4 linked regions of the Elephas maximus indicus genome follow. The protein of the gene in region 4 binds, or shares a complex with, the protein of the main gene of each other region. Links are inferred from orthologs where the notes say so. Each region holds a gene or a part of one and is shown on either strand. Other genes may lie near its edges. The genes, in order: CASR, PLCB3, CCKBR and guanine nucleotide-binding protein G(q) subunit alpha.

What was found.
Region 1: the proteins of guanine nucleotide-binding protein G(q) subunit alpha (region 4) and CASR are in contact, whole or in part, in a cryo-EM structure (PDB 8SZG), measured with the Homo sapiens proteins. The link is inferred for Elephas maximus indicus from reciprocal best matches to the Homo sapiens genes GNAQ and CASR. Residues at the interface, in NP_002063.2 of Homo sapiens: His63, Leu196, Gln197, Ser198, Ile323, Tyr325, Ile337, Arg338, Phe339, Phe341, Ala342, Lys345, Asp346, Ile348, Leu349, Gln350, Leu351, Asn352, Leu353, Glu355, Tyr356, Leu358, Val359; in NP_000379.3 of Homo sapiens: Lys644, Ala645, Asn647, Arg701, Val702, Leu704, Val705, Phe706, Ala708, Lys709, Ile710, Pro711, Thr712, Phe714, Phe801, Arg873, Thr876, Ala877, His879, Ala880, Phe881, Val883, Ala884, Arg886, Ala887, Thr888, Leu889.
Region 2: the proteins of guanine nucleotide-binding protein G(q) subunit alpha (region 4) and PLCB3 are in contact, whole or in part, in a cryo-EM structure (PDB 8UQO), measured with the Homo sapiens proteins. The link is inferred for Elephas maximus indicus from reciprocal best matches to the Homo sapiens genes GNAQ and PLCB3. Residues at the interface, in NP_002063.2 of Homo sapiens: Pro185, Thr186, Thr187, Ile189, Glu191, Pro193, Arg202, Gln209, Arg210, Ser211, Glu212, Arg213, Arg214, Lys215, Trp216, Ile217, His218, Val240, Glu241, Glu245, Glu249, Glu250, Ala253, Leu254, Arg256, Thr257, Ile258, Thr260, Tyr261; in NP_000923.1 of Homo sapiens: Pro257, Arg258, Leu259, Asn260, Glu261, Val262, Leu263, Arg707, Asp709, Lys710, Ile719, Asp721, Gly722, Ile723, Val724, Ala725, Ser845, Asp846, Tyr847, Ile848, Pro849, His852, Tyr855, Ala856, Ala858, Leu859, Ile860, Asn861, Pro862, Ile863.
Region 3: the proteins of guanine nucleotide-binding protein G(q) subunit alpha (region 4) and CCKBR are in contact, whole or in part, in a cryo-EM structure (PDB 7F8W), measured with the Homo sapiens proteins. The link is inferred for Elephas maximus indicus from reciprocal best matches to the Homo sapiens genes GNAQ and CCKBR. Residues at the interface, in NP_002063.2 of Homo sapiens: Arg30, Arg34, Asp35, Arg37, Arg38, Leu40, Ser198, Val199, Phe341, Lys345, Asp346, Ile348, Leu349, Gln350, Asn352, Leu353, Lys354, Glu355, Tyr356, Asn357, Leu358, Val359; in NP_795344.1 of Homo sapiens: Thr87, Val88, Thr89, Asn90, Glu151, Arg152, Ala155, Ile156, Pro159, Leu160, Ala162, Arg163, Val164, Trp165, Gln166, Thr167, Ile241, Leu245, Gly248, Leu249, Val331, Leu335, His394, Arg396, Phe397.

The regions. Positions count from the first base shown.
Region 1 is NC_064819.1:12,719,632-12,726,561, reverse strand, and holds the start of CASR (extracellular calcium-sensing receptor), read right to left. Parts: upstream 3,062-6,930; 5' UTR 2,911-3,061; intron 2,741-2,910; exon of another isoform or gene 2,579-2,740; intron 1-2,578. UniProt on the Homo sapiens protein: G-protein-coupled receptor that senses changes in the extracellular concentration of calcium ions and plays a key role in maintaining calcium homeostasis.
Region 2 is NC_064825.1:127,429,760-127,437,554, reverse strand, and holds the start of PLCB3 (1-phosphatidylinositol 4,5-bisphosphate phosphodiesterase beta-3), read right to left. Parts: upstream 3,039-7,795; 5' UTR 2,903-3,038; coding exon 2,804-2,902; intron 1-2,803. UniProt on the Homo sapiens protein: Catalyzes the production of the second messenger molecules diacylglycerol (DAG) and inositol 1,4,5-trisphosphate (IP3).
Region 3 is NC_064825.1:59,927,999-59,935,433, reverse strand, and holds the start of CCKBR (gastrin/cholecystokinin type B receptor), read right to left. Parts: upstream 3,030-7,435; 5' UTR 2,978-3,029; coding exon 2,827-2,977; intron 1-2,826. UniProt on the Homo sapiens protein: Receptor for gastrin and cholecystokinin. The CCK-B receptors occur throughout the central nervous system where they modulate anxiety, analgesia, arousal, and neuroleptic activity.
Region 4 is NC_064827.1:94,374,566-94,382,438, forward strand, and holds the start of guanine nucleotide-binding protein G(q) subunit alpha, read right to left. Parts: upstream 3,095-7,873; 5' UTR 2,998-3,094; coding exon 2,862-2,997; intron 1-2,861.

The sequences.
Region 1 (6,930 bases), on a different chromosome or scaffold from region 4:
TTTAATTTGAAGTTACTTATTCAATACTTGGTTATTTTACTAACGTCTGCTTCCCCACAGCATCTGCAAACTCCAGGAGGGCAGGGACCTTGGCTGGTTTTATTCACCGTTTTGTCCCCGGTGACTGGCATATAGCCAGGCACTCATTCTGAATGAATGATTCTTTTACATCTCACTCACGCAAAGCCCTGTTCTCTTAAGGATTATACTCTGTTGCTTACCAGTCTCCAACTTGTGCTCAACCCATTCCTCTCCCTTATTCCCCAAACCTACTACAAGGACCAGTCCTTATTTTCTAGTCCCCTTCCCTCATTCAAGACTTCTTAGGAAGTGGCAGCTTCTAACTCGTCTGAAATTTCTGACATGTGTGAGATCCAGATCAAAGTCATACCAAAAAAACCAAACGCATTGCCATCGAGTCGATTCTGACTCATAGCGACCCTACAGGACAGAGTAGAACTGCCCCATAGAGTTTCCATGGAGCGCCTGGCGGATTCGAACTGCCCACCCTTCGGTTGGCAGCCGTAGCACTTAACCACTACACCACCAGGGTTCGTGCAACATGAAAAAACGACTAAAATAAAGGAAAACACGGTGACTGGAATGCTGTTAGGTTATTTTAAACACTGTACACAACGCCAAAAGAACCTGTTAATTCAGTAAAAATAACTTAAACTACTTTTGTTTTCTTGAAAAATGGGCTGGTTTGCTGATTTTTTCCCCCTTTCAACATGTTCTGGTCTTGCTGAGACAAAGTCTTGGGAAACAGTTGATTGTGCTGATTGTTGGCAAGAGATAAGCCACGTGTGGTCTCTTAGCAAAATTCTCTGGGCGCATTGCTAAATGACCGATCTCCCAGGGCCCTCTGCTCCAGGATTCTCCTCCATTCAAGGGTCTTGGCCTGCTCCTCCCCTCCTGTCCTCCTGCTACTGCCTCTCCTACAATGCTACATCTTTCTCCCTCAGGGAGAGTGGGTTTGAACTGCCTTTTGGTTGGCAGCCCAGCACTTAACTACCGAGCAACAGGACTCCTCCCAGGTTCCTAAAGGGGGAAAAACCTACTCTAGTCACTCTGCTGGGGATGGGATTGGAGGGATGGGGGGTGGGGGGACGGGGGGAGTGGGAAGGCATAACTGGCAAAGTTCTACTTCCAGAAATAGGAACTAGTGAGGTATTAATTTCTAGAAATCTAGAGCATTTTAGGAAACATCCTTCATTAACTCTCCTCAGTACCTGACCCTACTTAAACTGCACTTGGAAAGTCCAGTTTAGGGGAAAGTGTAAGTGAATACAGAACTTGTCACAGACTGCTCTTGTGGTCACTGAGAGAGTTAAGGCAAGTAAATGAAATGTCTTCTCATTAGTGGGCTTCCTACCCTGAGGGCTACCTCAGTGAAACACAATTTCACAATGACAAAGGTGGTGTGAGCAGGAACACTGGAGATTAAGGGATGGGGCAGTGATGCTATTTTCTTCTGGTACTTCCATTACGCAGGGGATGGCATGGGCGGGCAGATTATCCAACAGGGAAGGTAAGCACGGTACTTACTTTGCTTACTAGATCGTCTGTAGTGAACAATTTCACATTTTTTCACCACATCAAAGATTCTGCTTCTAGGTATGGCTGGCATCTGTCTCTCTCCCAACCCCACAGCACCTTCCTACAGAACTAATCCACAGTGAACAATTTCGCATTTTTTTTTTTTTTTGTGGTGAAAACATGTGAAATTGTTCACTACAGATTAGTAAGTAAAAACAAATCAGGCCGTGTTTACCTTGCTTATTGGGTAATCCTTCCTGGGTGGGATAAAGAATCAAAGGAGGGGGACAGAACAAGGAGTAAGAAATGATTTGGGCAAAAAAAAAAAAAAAAGGAGGAGAGAGATGAACAAATGCAAATGCTATTTACAAACATTATCTCTAGAAGGTAAACTTTGGTAGCGTTTGCTTATTTTTAACCATGCGCATGTATTACTCATTGAAAACTATAAATGTAAAGTAATAATAACAATAAAAGATTCTATTATCTTGTACTCTTGCCACTCACCCCAAGAACTACAGGGTGATTAGGCCCCGGGAACTGACACCCTAACTTGGCGTCACAGAGGCGAGGTCCCCGGGGCAGCTGGCTGGCTGGTTCAGGGATCCTGCCAGGACAGGTGCCTACACCGTGCGCGCCCACCGTGTACATACACATTAGAAAGCCGCCTGCTTCTCTGTTAACGCGTGTAAAAAGGGAGTTTTTTCTGACCGTGTCACGGGCAGAAGTAAGGCGGAGGCACAAGACACTACCACAGCTCCTCTTCCTGCTGGCACTCGCGTTCATTCCCGAAGACGGCCCACCGCGCCTTCTGGGGCAACACTGACCAGCCGAGCCCGGCACCCAGGCAGCTTTTGGTCCTGTAACCTGGGCCCTGACCTCTCAACGTCTCCCCACCCACCCAACAGTGCTTCTAGGTCCGAGCTGCTACGGTGTGCGCCCTCGGTCTGGCCCTCGAGCCAGTGCCCCCCAGACCTCGCCACGGCCCCTCCCCACTCGGGGCGCTTCTCGCCCGCCCCCTCGCGTCCCTCCGTCCTACCTGGCGCCCCGGCCCGGGCTCCCTCGCACAGGACAGCGCCGGATCTTCGGCTCTGGGTCTCCGCGAGGACGGGCTCCGGGCCGAGCGCAGGACGGCGCGCGGGGCACGCTCCCTGATGCCAAGGTCACGGTCCGGCAGAGGCGCGCGGCTCCCTGCGCTCCCGGCGCCCGCCCTCGGGTCGGGCCACAGCGGCCCCCGCGGACCCCCAGGCCGACCCGGAGCTCCGCCCCTCTCCCGCTCCCCGCCCGCCTGTCCCCTTGGGGACAGCCGAGCCCCGCTCCCCTCCGCGGCGGCTCGCTAATCCGCCAGCCGGGTGGCCCCGGCTGCCTCACCGTATCCCAGCCCGGTGAGTCCTCCGGCGCCGGATGCCGAGGGCGCGCCTTCCCTCGTCGAGGCCACGCGTCGGGTCTGGTCCCGGGAGACCGCGGGCCCGCGCTCAGGTTTTCGCCTGACTTCTGCGGGGCCGCGCCTCGGCTTCCCCGTCCCCTCCTAAGAGATGGAAAGAGGTTTACAACCTTGGTTGGGAGCTTGCGACGCCGCCAGCGTTCACTGTGCCAAGAGTGGAGAATTTTTTTCTGATAAAAGACCAGAGATTCGCAGTGGAATAAATATAAATCCCGTGCCAAAACTCTTACTCATTCTGCCGACTCAGGTCAAGTGTTGCCTGTGTCGCCAGGGCTTCCCAGTACTCCCAAACTGCTCCCTCCTTCCACTCATCTGCCAGGAGAGGAGGGCGCGCGGTTCTCGCCCGCTGGCCGCAGGCGCCTGCTGGCGCGTTCTCTCCTCTGCCCGACCGTGAGCACCTTGAAGACGGGACCCAGCCTTGCTCATCCTTGAAGCCAGCCCCTCGCAAGGCGCCCGCCACCCATCTCGCGCTAGGATATTTTGCAAATAAGCGGAAAAATTAATTTCTTTGTAGAAAGCTAGTTTTTACTTTGTACCACCAAATAAAGCATATTCCTTTGGGTGGGCAAATTGCTAGTCTCTATAAAAGCCATAAAAATTATTACCCCCTCTGGTGCAGTAATTCCCCTGTTGGGGAAATTTCCAGAATGAAATTATTCTCATGTGCAAGATGTTCATAGCAGGATTATTTATTACAAATAATACTTTTTAAAAACCACAAAAAAAAAACGAACAAAGCCAACCCGTCAACAGTAGGAAATTGGTTAAATAAATTATAGTAATTTAATGGGATACTATACAACCATTAAAGTGATAAATGCCAAGGCAAGAGTGCCTCAAATTCTTTTAAAACATGTTGCATTTTTTAAAAAAGGAAAATATGCAACATGAAAAAGGGTTTACAAAATAATACTAAGCAAAAAAGTAGAAAAATTGCATAGCTCTACCATGTTTAACCATTTCATATGAAAATGCAGTTTTCTTGTCTGTAAAATGTGAATAGCACCTCCCCCAAGGAGTTCTTGGAGTATGAAATGAGATGCTCAACGAAGTTGCCTGATACATATATATCTAGCCTCATATGCATGCTAATCATAGCCCAGTTCTGCCCATTTTGCTTCCTTCCCCTGGGTAGGAGAAGGAGCTGAGCAAATATTCAAGCGCCAAGATAAAGGGAAGAGGACAACCTAGTTAAGGATAAATGCAAAGTCCTCCTCCCGGCCCAAACACTCAGCAGTACAAGTTCACAACGAAGGATCCGACTCATAGCGACCCTGTAGTCGGAAATCGCAGCTCAGCAGCAGCAGAACATATCAAAATGTCTAGAGACTTCAGTTGGCTACGGACATATCCTATTCAGTGCCCAAAGGATAAAGAAACAATAGTCTGAGGCTGAATGACCTCCCTGCAAAAGCTGGCTCACACCTGGGCATAATTTTCAAATCTGGACACTGTCCTTTAAGAAAGCATCACTCTGAAGAGCTATTATTACTCCCATTTTAAAGATGAAGAAACTTACAGGCTTACAGAGGTTAAGTGATATATCCAGGTGGCGCAGCCAGGGAGCAGCAGACCAAGACCTGATCAGCTTGACTGTAGCCTGCAGGCTTGATCAACTCATCAGTGTGTCCCAGTGTGTGCCTCTTCTAATAGAGGAACTAAGACAGGGAACAGAGGGGCCCCCAAATCTGCAATTCACATAAACAAATGAAAGTAACAAAGTAACAGGAAATGGGCCCCAAACGCAGAAACAAACCCATTCCCCAGAACAATGGAGCAGGGTATCAGAAAACAGCCCGGAAACTTCTTATCGGAAAACGGCCCGGAAACTTCCTTAAAGTTGTCTTTCCGAAGCAGTCAGATGAAACCAGCCCCAGGGACATGTGCAGAACATCCACCTGTGACCGCTGTGTGACCTTCCACCAGGGGTAGTGAGGGGCTGCAGCCACAGCTGGGGAATCGAACTTGGGGAACAGGTGACTGCACAGGTGCGACACCCCATAATAAGTCTTGCTACGGATCCCAGAAGCCTCTGGGACAGGAGCCGTCTTAAAGACATCTTAAAAAGCTGCTTCACACTTGCACTGCGCACCTTAGTTAACCTATCCCTGCCCAAAACGGGCCACTTGCGGGAAAACCCCCGCTGTGCCTCTGAATAAACCTGAATCCTGCCCCCCCACCAAGAATTTTTGAAAACCCATGTAAGTCCTTTGTTCTGAGAGACGGGGTTAAGTGTTGCCTGGGTCCTCCTCATCTCAGCTTGCAAGCCTCTTTAATAAAGCTTTGCTCGTGTGGAAAATTCTCTGTGCCTTGCCTGCTCATTCTTGACCAGTGAGAGGCAAGAACCTTGTTTAAGTAAAGGTGTAGAGGCACCGGCAATAGAACACGAGACGGTTTTGAGTGCTACACAATGACTTTAACTAACATTGAAATACATGATGGAAAAAAAAAATGCCATTTTCAATTCTCTTGATCCCATGGGTTAGGTCAAGGTTGTCGTTGGGGCTGTTAGATGCCATGGAGTCGATTTTTACTCATAGTAACCCATTGTGACAGAGTAGAACTGCCCCATAGGGTTTTCTAGGCTGTAATCTTTATGGAGGAGCCTGGTGGCACAGTGATTAAGAGCTCAGCTGCTAACCAAAAGGTCAGCAGCTCGAATCCACCAGCTGCTCCTTGGAGACCCTGTGGGGCAGTTCTACTCTGTCTTATAGGGTCACAATGAGTCGAGATAGCCTCGATGGCAACAGGTTTGGTTGTTTTGGGGGGGTTTAATTTTTATGGAAGCAGATCGCCAGGTCTTTCTCCCACATAGCCCCTTGTTCGAACCACCAACATTTTGGTTCATAGCTGAGCACTTAATTATTGCACCACCAGGGCTGAGAAGTATCATTTTTGCTGTACTTTGTCTTTAGACCTTTCTAACACTTGCTATAGGAGCTCTGGTAGCACAGTAGTTAAGAGTTTCACTACTAACAAAAAGGTCGGCAATTAAAATCCACCAGCATTTCTTGGAAACTTTATGGGGCAGTTTAACTCAGTCCTATAAAAATCTTTTTATAGGGTCACTATGAGTCAATGGTAAAGGGCTTTTTTTTTTTTTTTTTTTAACACTTACTAATTTCCTGTTTTAACAAAGAGAGAGCCTACCTCAGGCTCAGAACTTTTGCTCGGCAATAGTTCCTAAGCAGAATTTAATATCATCATTTTCTCTTCCTTGAAAAATAATATATATATTCTAATAGTGACAAAGAATGTTTTCCACATACAAGTTGATGTAGTTTCCTTTTAAAATAAATTTAATTAAGTAAGAAAATTGGGTAATTTGAGAGATACTGAGGAACTCATAGGACCAGTGGTGTCTGGATATGGTGAAATGGTAGAGGTGGTACTCAGATGGCTGAAAAATGGGAGATACTGCCTCACACTCTGTTACGACCAGTGGGTGGAAGGTGTGGTGAGCCAGGTTTCAGTTCAAAAAGAATGAGAGCTTTCTAACAATCATGGCTGCCAGGAAAGGCGCTGAAGGGCTCCCTTGGGGGAATGTTGATCACGTGCCTTTCACTGTAAGGGCTGAAGCAGGAGTTTGACAAAACACCAAGGGTTGTTGTTAGCTGCCATTTAGTCGTCCCCCCCCCCCGCCCCGCCCCGCCCCATGGTGACCACATGCACAGGTGAACTAATGATAGATTGTGGGTTGGACTGATGTGATCCACAGGCTTTTCACTGACTGATTTTTGGAAGTAGGTCACCAAGCCTTTCTTCCAAGGGGCCTCTGGGTGGACTGGAATCTCCAACCTTTTGGTTACCAGCTGAGCGCGTTAACATTTGCACCACCCAAGGACTTCTCCAGATAGGCCAGAAACTTTAATGCTCTTGCCAACCGGGAAAATCTAAGACTGTTGACAGCGGAGCTTCCTAGAATCCTAACCACTGGAGAGACCGAG
Region 2 (7,795 bases), on a different chromosome or scaffold from region 4:
CAGTGAGCTAAGACAAGGCCCCTTCCAGTCCACGGGTCCTCCACAGCTCTGTACAGCCCTCAGGACAAGGCAAGGTCCTCATCATGACGTTTGCGGGCCCCACGCTCTGACCCCTCCCAGCCTCAGCTCTTGCCCTAAGACCTGTCACGTGGACCATGGACCACAGCCCACCCTTCCCCACTCCCAGCTTCGCCTCATTGTTCCCTTTGCTGGGATCACCTTTCTTTCTTTCTCTCCCGTGAAATCTGACCCACCTCCTCGGGGAGGCCTCCCCTGACCTCTACCCGGGCTTGGTTTCCCCAGGAGACCCCAGAGCTCCCTGAAGGTTGGAGCCGCTGGTAGCGCCCTTAGCTGAGCACACTATAGAGGTTTATGAGATGAAAACAGAGGGGGCGGACGTCTGACCTCCACAGCCCTCTGCATCCCTCAGGGTACCAATATGACCAGCCACCCTTATACCCACTTCCAAGTCCGTTTCTCCCTATCCTGCATCCCCCAGGACTCCCAGCCTCACAGCTCCCCCATCCCACCCTGCACCCCCAGGACCCTCACAGCCAGCCTCGCAGCTCCCCCCACCCCACCCTGTAGCCCACAGAACCTTACAGCCTCACAGCTCCCCCACCCCAGCCTGCACCCTCAGGACCCTCACAGCTTCATAGCTCCCCCACCCCACCCTGCACCCCCAGGACCCTCAGAGCCTCCCAGTTCCCCCACCCCACCCTGCATGCCACAGGACCCTCACAGCCTCACAAAAGAACAGACCGAGTCCCCCCAAAAGGGGGACTGTCCCTGCCTTTGCAACAGACAGTGAATTCTGTCCACCCTCAAATGGGCTTGTGGCTGGCAGGGTGCAGGGAAGGGCCCCCTGGCCCCATTTTCTGAGGAAGGCCTAGTCCCTGGCTTACTCCCAGGGCCACCCAGTGCAAATGATGGGCAGCAGCCAGAAGGGGCTGTCATCAAGGGCTTAGACTTGGCCAGGGCCCAAGTGGCCAGGTAGCCACAGGTAGAATTCTCCTCCCCCAGGCTCCTCCGGACAGAAGAGGACCCAACCTCACCTTCGGTGCCACCCCGGAACCGCTGCTCCCTGTCTGGTGGGTAATTATATCACCATCAGCATAACAGCTCACACTCTCTTGGCCCCTACTGTGTGCCGGGCACAGTTCTAAGCACTTCATATATGTGAGCTCACTTGGTCCTCTCAACAACGCCATGAAGGGTGTGCCTTTGTTATTCCCATTTTACAGATGGGGAAACAGATACAGGGAGGCTAAGGAGCTTGCCCAAGATCATGCAGGGGTGCCAGGATCTGCAGGCAGGAAGTATGGTGCCAGCATCTTGAGGCCTGGGAAGCAGGGGACCAGGACCTCTGCCAGGGTTCTAGCTCCAGCCTCAGCACAGCTCCATTGTGGAGTCTGGGATGAATCTCCTCTTTCAAGACCTCAGTTTCCCTTTCTGGAGAATGGGGACTGTACCAGCCCCACCCATCTCAGGGCTTGATTACAATGGACAAGAGATTGATCTGGGGGAAGAGGGGATGGGAGGCCCCAGAACTTCTGGGGTGCCTGAGCCACCCCACCTCAGTGTGTTGACACCCATCCCCAGCTGCTCTCTGTAGGATTCCCAACCCTGCTCTGGGCCTGAAGCCCCAATACTGTGGGGAGGGGTGAGTTCTGACGGTGCTGTCCCTGGTACCTCCCTCTGCCCCTCCCCAGGGGCCCAGCCTTTAAAGGTAGCCCCAGGCCCCCTGCTCTCCAGCCCCAAGCCCTTGTCAGCACCCCCACCCCACCCCCTGGGCCCTCTCTCTGCTCCCACTTCCTTATTTGGGTTTATCACACTGGAAGGAAAAGGAGAAACTTTTCCCTACAGGCTGGCCTGGGGGGAGGGGTCTCCCCACTCCCCAGGCACCCAGGCACTTCTGGTGGCACACCTGCTGCCTCAGGCCACGCCTCCAGGTCCTCCCTCCCAGCTCCCACGCCTCCTGCCCCACCCAGCCGGAAAGGAGCCCAGAGTCTTCCAGGCCTCTGGTCTAACTGGGAAGGAGCAGCGAGGAAGCACAGGCCGACCGGGTGGAGGCCCTGAGGAAGGAGGGCCCCAGGGGGCAGAGGGGTGGGAGGTGAAACTGAGGGTAGGGCGCAGGACTGGGTGGGAGGCCAGGGTGTCTGGGAAGCAGAAGGGCAGGGCAGCTGGAAAGGGTAACCAGGCTTTATTGGGGTTCAAAGTCCCCAATACCAAGGAGTGGGGAGCAAAGTTCTCCAAGGGTAAAGGAACTTGCGGAGGGCAATGCCTCCATTTGGGGGGTCTTGGTGCTCCTGCCTGAGCAGATGGTTGGGCTGAGATCTAGAAGCAGGGCAAAGGGGTGACAGCCAGAATGGGGTGAAAAAGTGATGAATGAGAGAGTAATGCTCAGACGATGGCACTGGGAAGAGTAGGGTTCCAGAAAAGGGGTGCCCTGAGCCAGACTGGGTGCCAGGGTCCCAAGCCACAGCAGGATGTCCAGGGCTGGGCAGGGGTCTGTGGACCAGGCCACTGTAGGGGAACTAGAATTAGCCTGGCAGGGAGGGGTGGGAGGAACGAGTGAAGGGGGGGGGCAGGATTTATTAGCCAAGGACTGGGGAGCCAAATTTTCCAGAGCTGAGGGATTGGGGCGGGGGGGGGGGGGACAAAGTCTTCATTAAGAGGACGCCTGGGGACTCAAGTTTCCGGAGCGCAGCCGGGCTGGGATGGGGGGGCCGGGGCCAGGCCAGGCTGAGATGGTCCCCGGCGTCTAGTCGAGCTTGAGCGGGGGGGAGTCCCCCACACTTACCTCGTCCCATTTGATGAACTTACTCCCGCGCCGCAGGGTCTCCACCACGGTGGGCGGCTCCAGCTGCAGCGCGTGGACACCGGGCCTGGCGCCCGCCATGGCCGGCCTGGAGGCGCGTCGGGGACCCACCGGTCCTCGACAGGGACCGACGGCGCCGCTGGTCTTTCCGCGCGGCTTCCGGGCGGCCCGCTCCGGCCCCGCGGCGTCAGCGCCCGCCCGCCCGCCAGTCTGTCCCGGACCGACCAGCGACTTCGCGGGGCCGGGCCGGGGCGGGGCGAGGGCGGGGCCGCAGCGGGGCCGCCCCTCCCACGGCGTCGGCCCGCCCGCCCCGCACTGGCTCCCTCTGGCGGCCGGGCTGCCACTGCAGTCAGAGAGGGGCTGGGGCCAGGGGCAGGGGCGCACCTGGCCTGGGGCTTGGCTGGGGGTTCAGCTTCGGGCCCAGGGCCCAGGGTGGGGAGACGTGGGGCCAGGATGGCTGCTGGAGGCGCAGCTGGGGGGTTGCGTGTAGAAGACGCTGCCGAAGGCGGCCGGGGTCTGCCCGCTAACTTTCTGGGGGACAGACCAAGAGCACTACTGGAGGGCAGGACTTGAGGGGGGTCGGGGGCGCAGAGCTCTGTCCCCCGCCCCACTCCCGCGGCACTTAGCTGAATGCAGGAAAAACCATTTCCACCCCCTCTCTGCCCTCACTTCGCCTCACCCCTCCCGCTGACGCGCGGTCCCCTCCCTGGGAGCACTTAGCCGGCTAATGGGCCTCCTGCCGGCAGCGCCCTCCCCCCTCCCTGGCCCTGGGAGGCCGGGCGCCTGCCGCCTCCGAGGACCCAGGCGTCCTGGCCTTCCAGGGCGCACCCCGGAACAGCCCCCTTCACGTGCCACAGGCCCCTCCGGACTGAATCTGAAGCCTGCCCCTGTGGGCCTCGGGCTGGAGACTGCGCAGGGGAAGCTGGTGGTTTGGCCGGAGGGTCAGAAGCCTCCTAGGTATCCAGAACAATGGAAGTTGAGGAGGGGCTCCGCAGTGCCCGGCCCACAGCAGGTGCCCTGAAATCTGCGTTCCAGGGTTGGGAGGAGGGGAAAGCACATGGGCAGGGGATGGGTGGGGGCTGCAACCCCTCCCGCAGGGCTTGGCTGGGGGGGCTCCTGCCTGGGGGCCCCTGTGGGAGCCCCCCCAATACGGAGGCAGTAGCGACAGCAGGTTTAAAGTAGAACTCATCCAGAGGGGCCAGCCAAGTCACCTAGAAACCCAGAAAGAGCAGAGCTGGTTCTGGGGGAGGAGGGGTCAGCCAGGGAGGAGCCGGCTCTGCCAGCCCCCTCTGCCCCAGGGCACTCAGACCCTGAGGGGAGCTGGGCCTGCCACTGGCCATCCTCAAATCCCCACCATGCCGGGCACCAACTCTAACCTAGGGAATTTTGCCTTTGGCCTTGGCCCTGTGGGGAGGATTATTATCTCCACATGAGGCCCAGAGAGGGGAAGGGACTTGTCCAAGGTCACACAGCTTCAGAGGTGATTTCAACCCTCTTACTTGAAGGCCGGCTCCCTTCTTGCCTCTACTCCCGGCCCTTGAGGAGACAAAGAAAAGGGGTAGGACCATCTATCTTTGTTCTCTCTCTCCAGGGCAGCAGAGCCAGGTCCCTCAGATTCACAGGCACCACAGAACCCTCTAGGGGAACTGAGCCGCACAGGGTGAAGGTCAGCCTCTATGCCCATAGACCTGGGTTCAAGCCCACTCCCTCTCGCTACCACCAGAACCTGGTCTCTCTGGGCCTCAGTCGCCTTCTCTGGAAGCTGGAGGTTGAAGAGGATTGAATAAGCGAATGAATGAGAGAGATGACCCCTGGCTACATGCAGCTTACCACCTAAGGAGTAGATGGAAGTCAGGTGGTAGGGGCATCAGGGAGAAAGGAGGAGGAGGAAAGCGGGAAAGGGTATAGGTCAGCTTAGGGCAGGGGCCCCTGCCAGTCAGGGCCAGGACCAGAGCTTGGGGAGGTCTGAACTGTGTCCCTAGACCTTGGCACAGGACTCAATAGATGAGCTGGGCATTAACTCCTTAGAAAACAGGATAGGAGCCTGTTTTCTGGACCTCAGCCTCTCCCCTTCCCTCCCCACCCCTGTGTCCCCTGAGGCCAGGGCAGCCCCCATTAATCTTTCCACCTTGGACGCTCATGATGGTAATGGGGTTCTCAGAAAGCAATAATGGTAGAAAGGAAGCCTTGAGTAAGGAGTGGTCACTGCCCTCAGGACCCTCCCTAGGGCCTCTGCCTCAGGGAGGCGCTAAAATCAGCCTTAGCAGCACTCTGGTGGAAGGGGGCTGGGATAGCCTGATCCCAGAGGGAAGGGGAGCGATGGACACACCCAGCCCCAGAAGTTTCAGGCAAGGGAACTAGGGCCGATAAGTGGGCTCAGGCAGCACTGGGCTCTTGGCCCCAATCACCAGAGGTCAGGATAATCAACCCCCTTGAAGAGGCTCAGGGCAGGTAAGTGACTTGCCCATGGCCTCTTAGGCTGCAGAGCAGAGCTGGGATTTGAACCTAGCTCTTCCACTCCAAGCTAAGATCCTGTGCATAGCAGCCCAGCTAAAGAGAAGCTCCAGGCCAGCATGCAGGTCCAGCCTCACCAACAGTTACTGGGTGAGTGGCCACGGGAAGGGAATGGACAGAGAGGGGATGGCCCCAAGAATCTGGGTGTGGCTTGGGGGTGTCTGTGGAAGTGGAGAAGAAGAAAGGGCATCACTGGGCACCTCCCATCCTGCCTTGAGAAGCCCATAGGTGACCTCTGACATTTGGACAGGACAGGCCTTCACACCTGCCCAGAGGGGAGGAGGAACTGGGTCACGGAGCATCTAGGGGACAGAACTGGGGCTGGCACCCCAGTCGTGGTGGTTTGCAGGCCCCATTCCCACAGCAAGCTGTGAGGCCTTAAGGGCTGGTTAGGTATTTCACCCCTCCTCTGGGTGAGCATCCCTGAGCCTCAATCAATGTTCAGGTTCAGAAAGCACTTGAAGGGCTCAGCCATCCTTGTGGGGTAGGTGGGGTGAGGTGGGGCGAGGTGGTGAATTTGGACTTGGGGCAGAGTGTTGATCTCATCATGCCAGGCTCTCCAGGGGTGGGTCTCCTTGTGGAAAGGATGGGTCCCACCTGATCTGCAAGAGCAAGGGTCAGCCCTTCCCTGGCCCCCTTGGCTGGGTGAAAGGAGGCTAAGGCCAGAAGGAGGAGCTGGGGAGGGAGCAGGCATCAGCTCACTCTACCCCGGCCCTGGACTGAGACCTGTGAGCCTGCCCCTCAGCCCAGCCCCTCAGGGAGAAGCCTAGTGCCCCCTCACCCCCACACCCACTATTCCCAGACTCTGTCTTCTCTTTGTCTCTTCTTCCCAGCTACAGGGTAGGCACAAGGAGGTCCAAGTCCTGAGTTCATGTTTGGCCACAGCACCAGCTGTGTAATCCTGGCCAGTCCCAAGTCATCTCTGAACCCCACCTGCTGCAGAGGGCTTCCTGGCTTCCAGGACAAGTGGGTCTGTGAGGGGCTGGGACGGAAATACCTGGTGCTTCTCAGACCCTGACAGTCTGCTTCGCGTGGTGGAGAGTGAGCCTGCCATCTGAGGAAGCATTCCGGCAGGAGCTGCACAACCTTATTGGGTGGTGTAGACAGGAGGCAGGGAGGAGTGTAGAGACTTCGCATCAGGGGTTTGAGTCACGCAGCCCAGGTTCAAGTCGGAGCTCTACCTCCATCTATTTGTGTGACTTCATCAACCTCTGTGGTGCAGTAATTGGACCTTATATGCATGTTCTTACTTAATCTTCACCACTATCCTCTGAAGAAAAGGAGACACAGAGGAAGCCATTCATTCACTCATTGATTTTTCAGTCAATAGTTATGGAGTCTGCCAAAGTTCCAGTTGCAGGGGGTTCAGCAGCAATGGAGTCATTTGTCCCATACACGGGGGTTTGAGGCCAACCTCGGGCATGAGCAGTAGCCAAGGTCTAGGACATCTGGGCACCATGGAGCTCATGGTCTAGAGGTGGGAGACAGAAAAAAAAAAAAAAAAGAGACAATTTAAAGATACAGAAAATCAAACAGGATGAGTCACCTTGAGAGGCATCAGTGAGACGTAAAGGACAGAAGAAGCCACAGGACGAAGATTTGGGGAACGGCAAATGCGAGGCCCTCGCGCTAGAACTGGCTGGGCGCCGGTCTCCATAAGCGCTCACTAAGAGATCAGCTGTTATTATTATCTTTATTATCATGAGTCCTGGCTCAGCCACGTCCCAGCTCTTCGCCTGACGTTCCTTGTATGTACACAAAGAGGTTGCGGGGTGCACAGGGCCGCGCCCTGTCGAGGCCGGTCCTAGGAGGGCGCCCCAAACAAGTTCCGAGCTTTCCAGCCCCAGCACCGCCGCGGGGAGGGGCGGCCATGCGGGGCCGGCCCCGCGAACTACACTCCCCATGGTGCCATTCTCCGCCGCCATCTTGGCCGGTGGGCGGTGGCTGCCTGGGGTCTGGCCCTTCAGGGCTGGGCAGCCTGTGCCCACCTCCATCCTTGTCTCCTCCACAGGGGGTGCGGGACCTCGTCGGGCAGAGCAATCGGGGATCCGGGCAGCTCCTGCCTGCCTTCTCCCTCCTCGACCCGGGGGAGCCGGGTCCACGTGTCAGTCCACGCGGAGAAACTCGCTCGCCCCCCGTTGGCCTAGGACCGGAGAACCAGATGTCCGGACTCCGGTGTCTTCTCCCCGACCCTGGCCCTCACACGGTGCCCACTCCCCTCTAACCCAGACGGCCCCATTCCTGCCTCAGTGGGGACCGAACACCAGGGTCCCTGCCGGGGAGGAAATACTGGTAGCGGGCGCTCAGAACGCTTGAGCTTGGAGCAGGAAGATTAAAAAGGGTGGAGGGCAGACAGACTTCAAAACCCTGATGGCCAGACCCTCCCCTAGCCCCGCCGGCGGCGGGGCGGGGGCAATGGGCGCGCAGCGGCGCTGGCCCTTTAAGGGGGTGTGGTCGGGA
Region 3 (7,435 bases), on a different chromosome or scaffold from region 4:
CTGTTTTTCCTTTGTTTCTCTCTCTCCCTACAAAATTTCTTGAAAGTTTTGTCTACACACCCTAGTTCACTTCTCAAACCCCCTCTCCCACTGGCCCAACCTTTAACCTACTGCAGTCAGGCCTCAGCACCCACAATTCTACCTAAGAACTTTCTTGCTGTTGAATATGAAGGTCACTGTTCTGCCCTTTTCCAACTATATTGCCAGTGTTTGACATCATTTACCCTACCCTAAAAAGAAGCCCTCGTGGTGCAGTGGTTAAGCACTTGACTGCTAACTGAGAGGTGGTGGTTAGAACCCACCAGCCACTCCGCAGGAGAAAGATGTAGCAGTCTGCTTCCGTAAAGATTATAGCCTGGAAACCCCACGGTGCAGTTCTACCCTGTCGCATATGGTTGCTGTGAATTGGAATCGACTCAAGGACAGTGAGTTTGGTTTTGGATCCCACCCTGCTTGAAACTGTCTTTTCCCTTGACTTCTGGAAGGACATAGCTCCTGTCTCTCTGATAGTTTGGTCTAAATCTATTCCATGGACTCTCCTTCCTTTGCCTGGCTTTTAAATATTGGGTTTCCCCAGGGTCCTTTCCTAGGACTTCTTTTCTTTTCATTCTACACAATCTTTGGATGATTTTATCTATTCCCATGGCTTCCATTACCTCCTCTAGGCAAAGGCCTTTCAAGTCTGTATTAATAGCTCAGACTTCTCCCTGAAGCTCCAGACCCACAGATTCAACAGCCTACTGGGCAATTTAACCTGGATGTCTCACTGGCATTTAAACTCAGTGGGTTCCAAACTGAATTTATAATCCCTTCCAAAGTTGTTTATGCTCCTTTGTTATCCTTCTCATTATAAAGCACCAACATCCATCCAATTACTCAAGCTAGAAACCTGGGTTTCATCCCTTGACCTCTCCCTCCCACCCCACTTCTAATCAATCACCAAGTCTTGTTGATTCTGCTTCCAGAAGTGGCTCTTCTCTCCATCTCCATTGCCAGTACCTTTGTCTAAGCATCTTGTTTCACCTGGATAACTGTAATAGCCTTCTAAAGTGTTCCTCTGTCCTCCGTCTCATGTCCTCCAATCCATCCTCTACACTATACAACGAATCCTGGTTTAAAACCTTTTAGTTGTTCCCACTGCCTTCAGGATAAAATCCACACCCTTTAGCTGGGTCTATAAGAGTCCGTAAATACACTAGTTTGATCTCCAGCCTGAGCGTTCATTATTCCCCTCAGATGGTACAAGTCAGTCAGAAACTATGTCACACTGATTAAAAGTGCCATGAATTTACACTTTGGGCTTTTACACATACTTTCCTCTGCTTGGGATGCTTTTTTTTTTTTTTGCCTCTTCTTCCCCCTCGCTTGGCTGGATCTCTCTCATCTATCTGATTTCACCTTAGATATCACTTCCTCAGACTTGATTTCCAAGTCTGGGTTTGGTGCTTGTCTTCTGTGTTCCCACAACCCTATAAGGCACTTTTCATTTGGGGCTGCAATTCCCTGATTACTTGTCTGTCCCCACCACTAAACTGTGAGCTCCATGAAGTAGAGACTGTTTCAGTTTCGTTCAACTCATTCCCCGGTACCTAGCACAGTCTCTGGTTCGGTAAATATTTGTTGACTGAAAGAATCTAAGTGAGTGTGTGTAACAACTGAGCTGAGAAAGCATGCATTATTAGTTTGTGGAGTAAATCAATGCTTGAACTACAGTGCATTCTAACTATTCCCTTCTTAACACTGTTTCCTCTCCTAGAATTGCCCTCCTCCCTTTTCTGCCTACAGAACTCCAATTCTAAGAGTCAGCTCCCCTCCTCTTGAAGTTCTTGGTCCCCATCAGTCTGAACTAATTAATTCTGTCCTTTAAGTGTTGACAGTTCAGACCCTCTCACGCCACTGGCCACGCTGACCGTGATTTATCCATTGGCTTGTCTCTCCTCTGTACTTGACTATGGGGACATCTTTGTGTCCCCAGAACTGGGAGATCAGGTGTTCGATAAACATTTAAAGAAAGGAGGGGTGCAGGAATTATCAAGAAAATGATGATGTGAGCTGATGAGAGGATTGAAAATCTCTCTTGGGGACTGGGTGATTGGAAGTAGTCTGAGGAGGGTAGGAAGGGGGAGAAGATGGTGGCACAAAGGGACGGAGGCTATGGAGTGGGCAGGCTGGCTCATGGAGAGGGTGAGATTTAAGGATAGGCAGGATGCAGAGGGGGCCTGGAGACTTGGAGACAGAGAGAGAGAGTACAGAGCCTTGAGAAGAACCTCAACTTGGGAGATAGAGGGGTTTGAAGGCAGTACCCAGTGCCGTCGAGTTGATTCCGACTCATGAGGGGTTGGAGGAGTGAAATGGGGAGCAGCCCTTAGGGGGTCAGGCATGAGGATCTCCTTTGGGAGGGCTGGGGCTTATGGTGGGGGACAGAGGAGATTACAGCTCTAACTTCCCATTCAGGCCTTCCAGAATGCTCCCTCCTCTAACCAGATCCCTTCTTTTCTCAATCTTCCCTTCCTTTCTTCCCTCCCTTCCCCAGCGTGGCACCAGGAACTGGATGTAAAAGGAAAAGAGATATCTCCAAGGGTTGACAAGAAGAGGTCCTTGTCTCCCAACTCTCTGGGTCAAGGAGGGGGATGTGTGTTGTGGGGAGGGCTGTGAGGAGCTGGTGTGGTGGTGGGGGGTCGTCTGTGTGAGGGGCAGCTGAGGGAGTACTCCCAAGGAGATGGTGTGGCCGTTTGAGGCGGCAGTGTGGAGGGCGTGGGGAGCTTCTATTACTGCTGTAGGGTGCTGTGAGAAGGAGCTTGTGAGGAAGGTTAGGGAGGCACCCACCTCGTGTCCCGGCTCCGCGGATGCGTGGGGACTCGCAGCTGAGGTTGCTGGCACTGCTGCCGTTGAGGAGGAGGCCCCCTGGGCGGCACAGAGAAGCCCCCGACCCAGGTCCGGGTCCCGGCACGCTCCGGTTCAGCCTCAGCAGCTCCATGGCCCCAGCGGGGCCAGCTGCCTCCGTCCGCTGGGCCGGGCGGGCTCCTGCCGCGGCTCCACCTGCTCACGCTGCGATTCAGGCTCAGACGCCCCCGCCCCCCGCGCCCGTCTGGTCCCCGCCCCAGCTCCGGCCCCACGCCTCAGCTCTGCTCTGCGCGCCCTGCCGGGGCACTGGTGCCTCCCTGGCGCGGGGCCGCGTCTGTCCGGCCAGGTGATGCCTCCGCCCCCGCCCCCTGCTGCGGACTCACCCGCCCCCTCCCTGCGAGACTGTCCTCCAAGGGTCCCCCCACTCCCTGGATCTCTCCAGTCTTCTCTTAGAGATTTCCTTCCCTCTCTCTTCCCCCGCCCCCGATTCCGGGGAAATCTTGGGGAGAGAGAGAGCCAGAAGGCCAGAGAGAGAAAGAGATGTTATGTGTGTGTGTGTGTGTGTTTGTTGGTGGGAGGGGCCGATGCGGGGTGGGGGGATAAGAGGGGTGGAGTAGGGCGCTACTGCCCCGGGTTCCTGTATCTCTTTGGATGGGGTAGGGAACGTGCAGGTGGCGTCGGAGACAAGGGCTGCGTGTGGGGGTCACCCGCTGCAGCGCAGTTGCTTTAGCCCCAGAGAGGCGCGGAGTGGCCAGTGACCTCGGCACTCTCGCTAACCTAATGCCCCTCAGCTCGTCACCGCAGGGCTGGGGTAGCCTCTGCATCTGCCCCGGCACTCTCCACCTCCTACCCAAGGCCCAAACCCAGGCTTCCACCCAAGGCTCAAAAGAACTTCCAGTAGCTGGCAGGGGAGGGCGGGGGAGAAGGAGCGCATTTGTCCCCAGGAAAGCCTTGGCAGGGGAAAGGGCTGCCTGGAGGAAGAGTCTGACTTGGACTTTGAGAGCGGCCAGAGGTGGTGGTGAGAAGTGCCCGGGATAAACGGGGATGAGATAGAGGATGGTTCCAATCCGAGCCCAGCGCAGGCAGAAAAGGGGAGGAAGAGGCTGGCTGGCTTTCTCCGCGGTTTCCAGGCAGCGCCCACTCCCACCCAACACGCTGATGGCTCGGTGTTTGCTCTCAGCGCAGGTGGAGCGGCCGGTGTAGTGCGCCTGGTTCCCACGAGAGGGGGCCAGAAGGGGGCTGGGTCACCGAGGGGCAGCGGCAACAAAGGAACAGGGGGCGTGTGCAGGACTGAGGTGGGTTCAGCTTCTTAGGGCAGGACGCCCCCTAATATTTCAGCACTGCCAGCTATCCATCCTCCTGTATTCCTAACAAACTCCAGTCCCCATCAGTAGCTGCAAGAGGTGGGGGCATCAGTCAAAGAGCAGATTAGCGTGGGGATGGGTTCCGGGTTTATGGGGAATTCAGAGGACCTGGTCCATCCAGCGCTGAGCTGATTGCGGCTGGAGCACTGAAGGAGGGTTTCAGCCTGAGGTGGCTGGGGATGTCCTCACCTGCCCCTCTTTCCTTCCTCCTGGCAGTACCTGCCTTGCCCATCAGAGGAGCCTGATTTGCTGTTTATTCAGAGGCAGCCCAGGTGGGGCCTCAGATAACCTGCTGTACTTTTCCCACATTGGATGGAGGGGCGAAGTGAGGGTAGGGGAGAAAAGGGAATGTTGAGGAGAGAAAGGTGGAAATAGGAGTCATGGACAGTCATTCACTTATTCAACAAAGTATGTGCCAGCTATAGGGCTGAACCCTGGCTGTCCAATACAGTCTGTGCTTGAGTAGCTCCCAATCTAGTGGGGAAAAATGCTTGCAATATATGTCATAAATGCACCCACCAGGTTGCGCAAGTCAGAAATTTAGGAATCACCCTTAATGCCTTCATTCCTGTGGTGGAGGCTGTGATGCAAAACCCAGACCCCTTCAAAAATGAAGGATTTATTCTTATCTCAAGCTGGATTTATTCTCAATTTCATACCTGAGCTGAAGAGAGCTGGTTTATCCAAGGTGATGTTTGCTTTCTAAACCCACTATCCTAAATCTAATGACTGATCAGTGCAGAGGTATAAAGTCCTCATCCCAATGGAGGACAACTCTGAATGACATTTACAGCCCCAGAGCTCCTTATGGGGTTGACAGAGGCCTTCATTGGGACTAAATTACTGCTTAGCTTCTCCCTTTGCCCAGTTCTGTTTTTGTCCTCTCTCTTGCACAGGTGTTGACTCCAAGAACGCTCTTAGTAAACATCTCTGTTTTAGAGTCTACTTCTTGAGAATTCCAACTGCATTACTCTCATACCCAATCAATCACAAAGTCCTGCTGCCAAGCAATTTGGAAGACAGCTACCTGGCCCACCAGCTGGAAGAGCTCCATATTTATGCCTATTCCCAAGAAAGGTGGTCCAACTGAATTTGGAAATTATCGAACAATATCATTAATATCACATACAAGTAAAATCTTGCTGAAGATCATTCAAAAGCAGCTGCAGCAGTATATCGACAGGGAACTACCGAAATTCAAGCCAGGTTCAGAAGAGGACATGGAACCAGGGATATCATAGCTGATCTCAAAAGGATCTTGGTTGAAAGCAGAGAGTACCAGAAAGATGTTTACCTGTGTTTTATTGACTATGCAGAGGAATTCAACTGTGCGGATTCTAACAACTCATGGATAACATTGCAAAGAATGGAAATTTCAGAACCCTTAATTGTGCTCATGAAGAGCCTATACATAGATCAAGAGACAGTCTTTCGAAAAGAACAAGGGGAATACTGCGTGACCTAAAGTCAGGAAAGGTGTGTGTCAGGGTTATATCCTTTCACCATACCTATTCAGTCTGAGCAAATAATCCGAGAAGCTGGACTATATAAAGAAGAATGGGGCATCAGGATTCCAGGAAGGCTCATTAACAACTTGCGTTATGCAGGTGACACAACCTTGCTTGCTGAAAGCAAAGAGGACTTGAAACTTCCTGATGAAGATCAAAGACCACAGCCTTCAGTATGGATTACACCTCAACATAAACAAAACAAAAATCCACACAACTGGACCAATAATCAACATCATGATAAATGGAGAAAAGACTGAAGTTGTCAAGGATGTCATTTTACTTTGGATCCACAATCAACACCCATGGAAGAAGCAGTCAAGAAATGAAAAGATGCATTGAACTGGGCAAATCTGCTGCAAAAGACCCCTTTAAAGTGTTAAAAAGCAAAGATGTCATTTTAGGACTAACGTGCACCTGACCCAAGTCATGGTATTTTCAATTGCCTCATATGCATGGAAAATGGGTGATGAACAAGGAAGACAGAAGAATTGATGCTTTTGAATTGCGGTATTGGAGAAGAATATCGAATATACTATGAACTGCCAAAAGAACGAATGAACCTGTCTTGGAAGAAGTGCATCCAGAATATTCCTTAGAAGCAAGGATGGTGAGACTTTTTCTCACATACTTTGGACGTGTTATCAGGAGGAATCAGTCCCTGGATAAGGACATTATGCTTCTTAGAGGGTCAGCGAAAAACAGGAAGACCCTCAATGAGATGGATTGACGCAGTGGCTACAACAATGGGCTCAAGCATAACAATGATTATGAGGATGGCACAGGACTGGGCAGTGTTTTGTTCTGTTGTACACAGGGTCACTATGAGTTGGAGCTGACTCGTTGGCAGCTAACAACAAGTGTTCCTTGAATCAGTCTGCTTCCGTCTTACTGACATTACCCTACTGGCATCTCGAGCTCTTGTACTACTCTCCCAGCCTAAGTGGTCTACCACATTTTACTGATGCTTTCTTATGCCCATCCACTACCTTATAGCCTGAGTAATGTTTCAGAAAATAAATTTGATTATCCCACTCTTCTGCAAGCAAACCCTTTAACAGGGCCTGCAAAATCTGTGTGGTTTGGCTCCTACCTGCCTCTCCAACTTATCTCAGGCCACTATGGCCCTTGTTCTCTCCACTGTAGACATGCTGGACTTCCTTTAGTCCCTTTCATTTGCTTTAATTCCTTCAGCTACATGGTCTTTGCATATGCTGTTAGCTCTTTCAGAAACCCTGGTGGCATAGTGGTTAAGTGCTACAGCTCTTAACCAAGAGGTCGGCAGTTCAAATCCACCAGGTGCTCCTTGAAAACTCTACGGGGCAGTTCTACTCTGTCCTATAGGGTCGCTGTGAGTCGGAATTGACTCGACGGCAGTGGGTTTGGTTTTTGTTTTGGGTTAGCTCTTTCTGGAAGCTCCTTTCCTTCCTTACTGCCTTATCTCCTACTCAACCTTCTGATCTCAGCTCAAGCAGCAATTCCTCAGTGAAGCTTTCCCTGGCTTCCCTACCTGTGGCAGGCAGAATTAAAAAATGAGCCCCAATGACCCTCACCGTTTAAAATCTTTTTTCCTTGAGTGTGGGTGGAGCCTGTGCATATAATGAGATATCGCTTCTGTGATTATATCACCTCTTATGGCAAAAGGGATTTTGGAGATGAAATTAATGTTACTAATAAGTTGACCTTAAGAGAGATAATCTAAGTCTCTCCTAATCACAG
Region 4 (7,873 bases):
TCTCCATATTCCTAATATACAAACCAAATCATATTTATAAACCATGTAAACAAATTTAGGAGTCCACCCTTATACCCCTGTCCAACAAGCCCATTAAAATGGCATCATGCCTTGACCCACAATTTACTTTGAAAATAATTTTATACTGAATATCAATATGCAGGTGATTCTTCAATTTAAATAAGCTGGTTAAAAAATACTAGGAAATCTTTAAACTGTGAAAGAACATATAGTGTCACCCCCTCTGGGCTGATACCGATTAAATGAATGGAGGAACCGGAAGGCTCAGTCTACTCAGCAGCACAGCACACATCAGGGCTTCCTCAAAGGGAACCCCTCCCCAACACCTTCCCTTGTTCCGCAAATCAACCATCATTTCCCTCTTGGACTCAAAAAATTGTGAAATCACGCTCCCGCACTCACCCACAAATCTACACTTAGTGTATGCTGTGACTATATCCACATTATAGATATTGCAGTGGTTACATGTTATCAGTGCAATAAACCTAGAACATAAAGCTGTACCAGCTCTTACATGATATCCAGTGATCGTGTTTCTGATAGACGGCTGTAGCATTTTTAAACCTTACTTATAAACGGAGATTCTCAATTTATGTCATATTTCCCTACCACTTCTAATAGGTCATATGGGGGCAGGAGGGCTGTATTAAACCCTACTCAAAAACCTAATGGGGGGGGAAGTTCTCCACACCAACACCACTTTAGCAGGAACACTGTTTTACTTTCCATTTTTCCCCTCACGAAATCATCTCCTAGTTCATGTTTAAATGCACAGTGTGTTATTTAAATGCACAGTATGTAATCAGGCATCCATATATGTTTTATTTCCCCAGCAGTCTTCCTCCTAGGCATTCAAACATAGGCCCTGGGGCAAAGCCCCAGCTCTAACTCAGCTGCTGGGAAACTCAGAGCTGCTGTCAATTTCAGGCAATAGGGCTGGCTTGAGAGACCTCCAACGCCCTGTTCACAGCTAGGCAGAAACAACTAACGACTGTAAACGGCAAAAGAAAAATCAAATCACTCGAAAGACAAATCACTGAAATCACCCTAAAACACATGCTTTTTCCCGTAATTGAGCCCTTAAGCACTCTATACATTTTTCTTGCCCTCTCTATTTTCTCCTCATCTTGAGAATTCAGAAAACATTCAACTATACATTGTCAACCATTAAAAGCAACCCAAAAATGAGAATTAAAAAAAAAAACCTTCATTTTCCAACTGGAGTTTCCCTTAAGCCCACCTCTTTCATCTAGGGCTCTGCCTTCTGTTCTTTATAAACCTGTGCACACTTACCTAATCGGGTTTCCAAATGAAGACATAACGCATGGCATGTGAATTAACCATTTGTAACTATGTGTGATCATTATATTTTGTTCCTTCTTGTAAATGATCCAGTACATAGCAGTTCAGTCACAAAGGCAATTGGTTCCTTGAGCCAGAAGATGGAACGCTCAAGATAAGAAAATGCCTGCTTCTCAAACCCTAACTGACAATGCAATATTCTTCTCTTACTGAAATGTTGGAGAAACATATTTATTATACAAGCAAAAAGCCAGGACACAAGTGCAGACATTTTTCAGGCCTGTTACTGCAAAGCTGTTTGCACTTCCTACCACAATAAAAGCTCAGAGTTATGTCATGCTGGCTTGTATGTGAACCCTGATGGCTTGACACTGAACATTCTCTCGGAGATAATAATCAATAGAATTCCTATTTGAGAAATGGCATTTTCTTGCTAACTTAGTGTTAAAGCAGAATGTTGAGTTGTTTGTTTAGAGATTAAAGGGAAATTTTTGCTACAAGCTTCCCGTTTTCCTTCTAGCCCAGATTCCAATGATATTAAAACGATGTCTGTTTAAAACAAACAAAAGGTTTCTATTTGTTTCCATGGGAGTAATTGGAGGCTGCATGGGTTTTCAGTAGTAACTATTGTGAATTCAGGCCTACATCTGGGTTGCCTTCATTAAACAAAAGATACCCGTCGCTGTCAACAACCACACAGCACAGCGCTCCCATATCCCTCATTTTTATCCGGAAGGAATGGTGCAGACGAGAAACAAGCCTGTCACTATCCACTGGCCAAGAAACTCCTCTGGGGTCCCTCCTTTCGGTGGTCTGACGGCTAAAGAATAGCACTTCTGTAGCATTTGGGGCTGCCCCTCTCCCCAGTACATAAGCCCCCTTTCTTTGGAGGACCAGGCACTCCTATACCTCATCACCACTCTTGGCGAATCCAGCCGCGAGTCTGCCCACCGCTCCCCAATTAACTCCAGACCCCAGAAGGCACTGATAGCGGATGCACACGCCACTCCACCACACACCATCTTCTAGCGTGTCCTGGCTCCGCTCGCCACGCTCGGGGACACACACACACACAGCTCCCCACGCGACCATCCCACCGGGCGCCGCGCTACGACACTTTAAGTTCAACCTCTCTGCCCACCTTCCCACCCCCGCGCCCCGAGCCTCTCCCGTGAAGTGATTTTCCGTTTAGCAGATGCACAGCAGATAAACGCGCACCCCGAATTCACAGCCCTAGGGACACGAAAAGGCACACGCCAAGGCACCCGGCAGGGCAGCATGAAGCGTGCGTGTGTGTGTGTGTGTGTGTGTGTGTGTGTGTGTATAAGTGCGCGCGCGCGCGCGTGTCTGTACGCGTCCGCGCGCCTGCGGGTGGTGGCCAGGGGCGCGCCCGCGCGCCCAGGGAGGGCAGGGGTGAGCCACAGGCGCCGGGGGCTGGGGGCGCCATGGGCAGCTACCCCGAGGGGCCGGGAGTGGCGGGCGGGGACACGGAAGCCCGGCGAGAGGGCACCAGGCGGCCGGGCCCGGGCCGTACTCACCGAGCAGCAGCAGCTTGAGCTCCCGGCGGGCGTCCCGCTTGTCCCTACGGAGCTGCCGCTCGATCTCGTCGTTGATCCGCCGGGCTTCCTTGGCCTCCTCGCTCAGGCAGCACGCCATGATGGACTCCAGAGTCATTCTTCCAAAGTGCCTCCGCTGCAGCCTCGCCGGCACCCCCTGCTCACACGCGCGCACACACACCCTCCCACCCTCGCTCCCCGGAGGCAGCGGTGGCCGCCGAGCCCTCGCCGCCCGGGCGCGCGGCCGGGACGAGCTCGGGGAGCCGCCGCGGGGACCACGGCCAGGGCCGGGCCACCTGGTGGGCCGGGGGGCGCGGCGGGAGCGAACGGCTCGGAGTGGTCCCCTGGGCCGCGGGAGGAACGAGGCGGGCGCGGGAGGCGGCCGCGGGCGCTGGCTCGGGGGGCGCGCGGGGGAAGGCCGCCGCGCCCGGCCTCGCTCAGACGCCCGCGCCTCCTTCCCCGGGAACGGGGAGCCCGCCTCGCCCCCCGCGCCGCCGCGGCCGCCGAGACTCCCCTAAGCTGGGCGCCGGGCGGCAAGAGCACATCCACCGGGACGTCCCCGCAGCCAGCGGCCGCCGACGGCTCCCCGCGCCCGGCGCGCCCGCTGTTCGCCGCCGCCTGACACGGCTCCCGGGCGCCCTCGGCCCTGCCCGCGCCCACCGCCCGGCTCGCGCGCAAACACCGCTTGCCGGCCGGTTCGACCGCCCGCCGCCGCGTACTCCTTCCTCCTCCTCCGTCTCCGCCTCCGCCAGACGCCCACCCCCGGCCTCGATTGCCAGGCGCGGAGCGGCTGCTCACTGCTCGCCCTCCCCCTCGCCACACACACACATTTTCTTCTTTCTCTGAACTGGAGCACAGATCCGGGAGGGAGGCGGCAGCGGCGGGAGGAGGGGGAAGAGGGAGCTAGGGGACGGACGCGGGAGGAGGGGAGCTGGGAGGCGGGGCCGCCCGGCCCCTCCTGGAAGGCTTTCCTGGGTTCGCAGCCGCCGCGGCGCGCCTCCTGGTGCGGCTCCGGCCTCTCCCGCGCAGCTCACCGCTCGGGACCGGCCCCCTCCGGCTCTGCGGGCGCTTCCCGCTCCAGCGCTCTCGTAGGGGCCCGCGGGCGCAGCGGTCACGGCCGCCCCCGGCGGGGGTCGGGGCGGGGGCTGGGTCCCCCTGGCTGGCTGACGCGGTGCCCCAACCGGCGGCCGCTGCTGTGGTCTGGGGCCGCCGCCAACCTGCCGCTGCCGGGCCAACCGCCCGGGCGTGGTAAAGCAGGAATATGGCGGCCTCCGCCTGCCTGGAATTCCAGCCCTCGAGCCCGGGAAAGCAGCCTCGGCCCCTGCTGGAAGTCGGAGGATTCAGGCCCGCAAACCCACCGAACAGCCTGGCGGCGCACACACCCTGCCCGCTCCCTGCAGGCGGCGGTGGCGCTCGCGCCAGGGCCCCCTATTGCAGCAGCGCCTTTCTGCCCCCCCCCCCACTGCAGCCGTAAACCCGCTTGTGTATTCTTTCTCATTCCTGTTTCTAAAACGCCATTCGGTTAGAAAGTATCTTGCATCACCTCTGACCCTAGTTCAGTCGTAGAAAATAAAGATCATCTGAGTTGTGGGGTGGGACTGGGGAATAGAAGAAATAGTCACTGGTTCTTGGAGGGGCCAAGAGGAAGATTAACAGGCGAAACGGTCCACAAAGAAATCTAAATCCTGAGTAGAAAAATGAAGACGCCCAAGTTTGCAAGAGCTTCCCGATGGCCTCCAACTTTTCATGCCATTGAAGGTGGTTTTGTTTTGTTTTTTACAAGGCCGCCTCTTGTTTTTGTGAAGACACATGGTGTTTAACAGCAAGTAATCAAACTTATTTTCCTAGACGGAGATTCAGTTATGGATGACGTATGGGAAAATGCAAAATAATGTGGGATAAAGGAAAAGGAAAAAATACATATATAAAAATGAGAAAATCAAGATTGTCCCAGCAAAATTCCATTCTGATTATTTGTTTTTCCACTTTTGATTGAGGCTTATTTTGTTGTGATGTACTACTGATAAATGGCAAAAAAATTTTTTCCTTGCCGATTGCGGGTGTTGTTGATCTAACAGCTAGAAGAGGTGAAAGAAACCCGCATTGCTTCCTGCTCAAGTATACTTTATGAGGAGAGTCTCTTTTTCTCATTTTATGTTTTCTCTGAGATGTCTCTGGTGCAAGGTGCTGATCCAGAATGTAAAGTAAGGTCAAGCCAAGCCAAAGGTAGCCTGTACTATTGCTGTAGGTCAGCGCACGTTGGGTTCTTGGTTGACAGCTCTATGACTTCGTTCTTTCCATTTGTCATTACCCCCATACCACCCCAGCACGTACACACACACACACACACACACACACACACTGTAAGCCAGAAGGAAAAGCAAATCATGGAGGTATAAGATCTGCTGTTTTAGTTTCCTTTTTAGAGGAATGGAGCCCCGGTGGTGCAGTGCTTAAGAGCTATGGCTGCTAACCAAAAGATTGGCAGCTCAAATCCACCAGCTGCTCCTTGGAAACCCAGTGGGGCAGTTCTACCCTCTTATATATAGGGTCATCATGAGTCAGAATCTACGTGACAGCAACGGGTTTGTTTTTTGTTTGGTTTTTAAAAGAATATTCAGCCCAGAAAATGATTCAATTTCACCTTGACCAGGAAAGCAGACAGGGCAAATCTCGCCTCTGTTATGCAAAAGTCTATGAAAAGCCAGTAAACTTGCTGCCAGATTAAAAATTTAAAATTAAGTGACTGATGAAATTAAAGATTGAAATTCAATATGCAGAAATTTAGAATGGCTTCTGGGAAAAAAACTTAATGATGAGTCTGCATTCTCTGCCATACGTATATACTTGAGTTTCAGAGAGGCAAAAAACAATAGAAAATCAAATGACAGCGAGCTTCAAGTCTGCGGTTTCCTCACAAAGGATGCACTGAGTCTTTTGAAAATGTCTCTCAAACAGTGCTATCAAACTATCAGGTAATCTGTTTTGACTGAATTGACCTATTATTTGATGGAAGAAATTAAACTGTTTCAGCAGATGGTTTGTTATTGGTAGTTGCTGTCCAGCCCATTCCAACTCATGGCCATCCTATGTGTGCAAAGTAGAACTGCTTCTTAGGGCTTTCGAGGCTGTGGCCTGTCGGAAGCAGATCTCTAGGCCTTACTTCTGAGGTGCCTATGGGTGGGTTTGAACCTTGTAGATACATTGGAAATCTAGTTTGTCACCCTTGCACACCCAGTATCAGTGACACTCCCTGGCACTCAATAGATATTTGAATTAAAAAAAACCCGTTGCCATCGAGTCGATTCCGACACAGTGACCCTATAGGATAGAGTAGAACTGCCCCATAGTTTCCAAGGAGCACCTGGCGGATTTGAACTGCCGACCCTTTGGTCAATGGCTGTAGCACTTAGCCACCATGCCACCATGGTTTCCATAGATAGAACAAATCAGATGTTTCTTCAAGTACTGGGAAGAAATCAGGAAGTAAGGAAAACCAACGCAATAATAGAGCCATGTGTAGGTGGCAAGAAGGAAAGAGGAAAAGAATATTCCATGTCTGAACCTAGACTTATCCAGAAACCTTTACCTATATATCTGAAAAGCATTTATCAAACAAATATTCATATGTCACACAAAAAAATCCTTGCAGGAACTACTAAAGTTATCGGCCATGTTCTAGAAGCATATACTCTAAAATATGCAACTAAACATGAATCATGTTACAAAATGTCAGTATATCAATCAAGAAACATTTATTCATTGCCCACTGTGTATAAATAACAAAGATGAAGGTGCAGGAAGAGAGAGCCACTAGGGTGAATCAAATATGGTCTTGCCCTCAAGAGGCTTATAGTCTTAAGATATAATGAGGCTCTGAACAGCTGTAATAAAAGACAAAATGAGATTAATTTTATTAAAGTAGGGGTAGAAGTGACAATGTAAAACGTTTTAGAAAGAAAGGAATAATTCCTTCTGTTAGGGAGAACTGAAGACTTCACGAGGAAGGTGGAGAATGAATAACTTTTCAATAAATGGGGATCTACACCTCATAAAAATAAATGAGCAATCCCAAATCACCCCAGATAGCAAGATAAAAAAAAAAAACATTTTGAGAATTTACTAGATAGCTGAAAAGCGAACCACAAAACCCAAAGAACGTTAAACTCCAGAGGAAAATGGGAAGACTGTCACATCTTCTTTGGTATCCTAAGGTGGATACCTATCACCACAATCACATTACCTGTCGTTGGGACTCTGGGGTGGGGCAGAACAAAGCAGTAAAAGTCATAGTTCAGTATTGTGAGGAGTGATCCCAGACTCAATGAAAAGGCCCAGTTCTTGTAGAAAGAGCTCCTGGGGAAGGGAAAGCTTGTTAATCAATGACTCTCAGCACTTCTTTTGTTCTCATAGTCACATAGCATGGCTGCTTCATAGCCTGTGCCACCCTGCTGTAATTGTCTACTTATTCTCCCTCTCTCTCTCTCCCAGGAGTCCTTGGGCGGAGCAAACAGTTAAGCACTGGACTACTAACTTAAAAAGCTGACAGTTCAAACCCACCCAGAGGCACCTTGAAAGACAGGCCTGGCAGTCTGCTTCCAAAAGTTCACAGCCTTGAAGGCGCTACGTATAGAGTAGTCCTACTCTGAAACACGTAGGATCACCGTGAGGCAGGATCCACTTGACGGCAACTAACAACTCTCCCATAAGATTGGGAGTTGCTTGAGAGCAGGGACTGTGTCTTCCATAACAGTCGTCAACGCCTAGCCCAGAGCAGATACTCAGTAAGTGACAAATAAACAACCTGCCTCAAAGACAAACACACTCACAGATTGCCTGTCCCAGGCAGGGCATTATGCCAGAGCCATCCAAGGCCCTTCCTTAAAGCCTTTATACTCTATTTGGGCGGTCAGTCGCATGCGTTAACGAACAAACAACAACACAAGGTGCAGAGCATTCCCTGCTGAGTATAGGGAATAGATTGCTATAGGTGT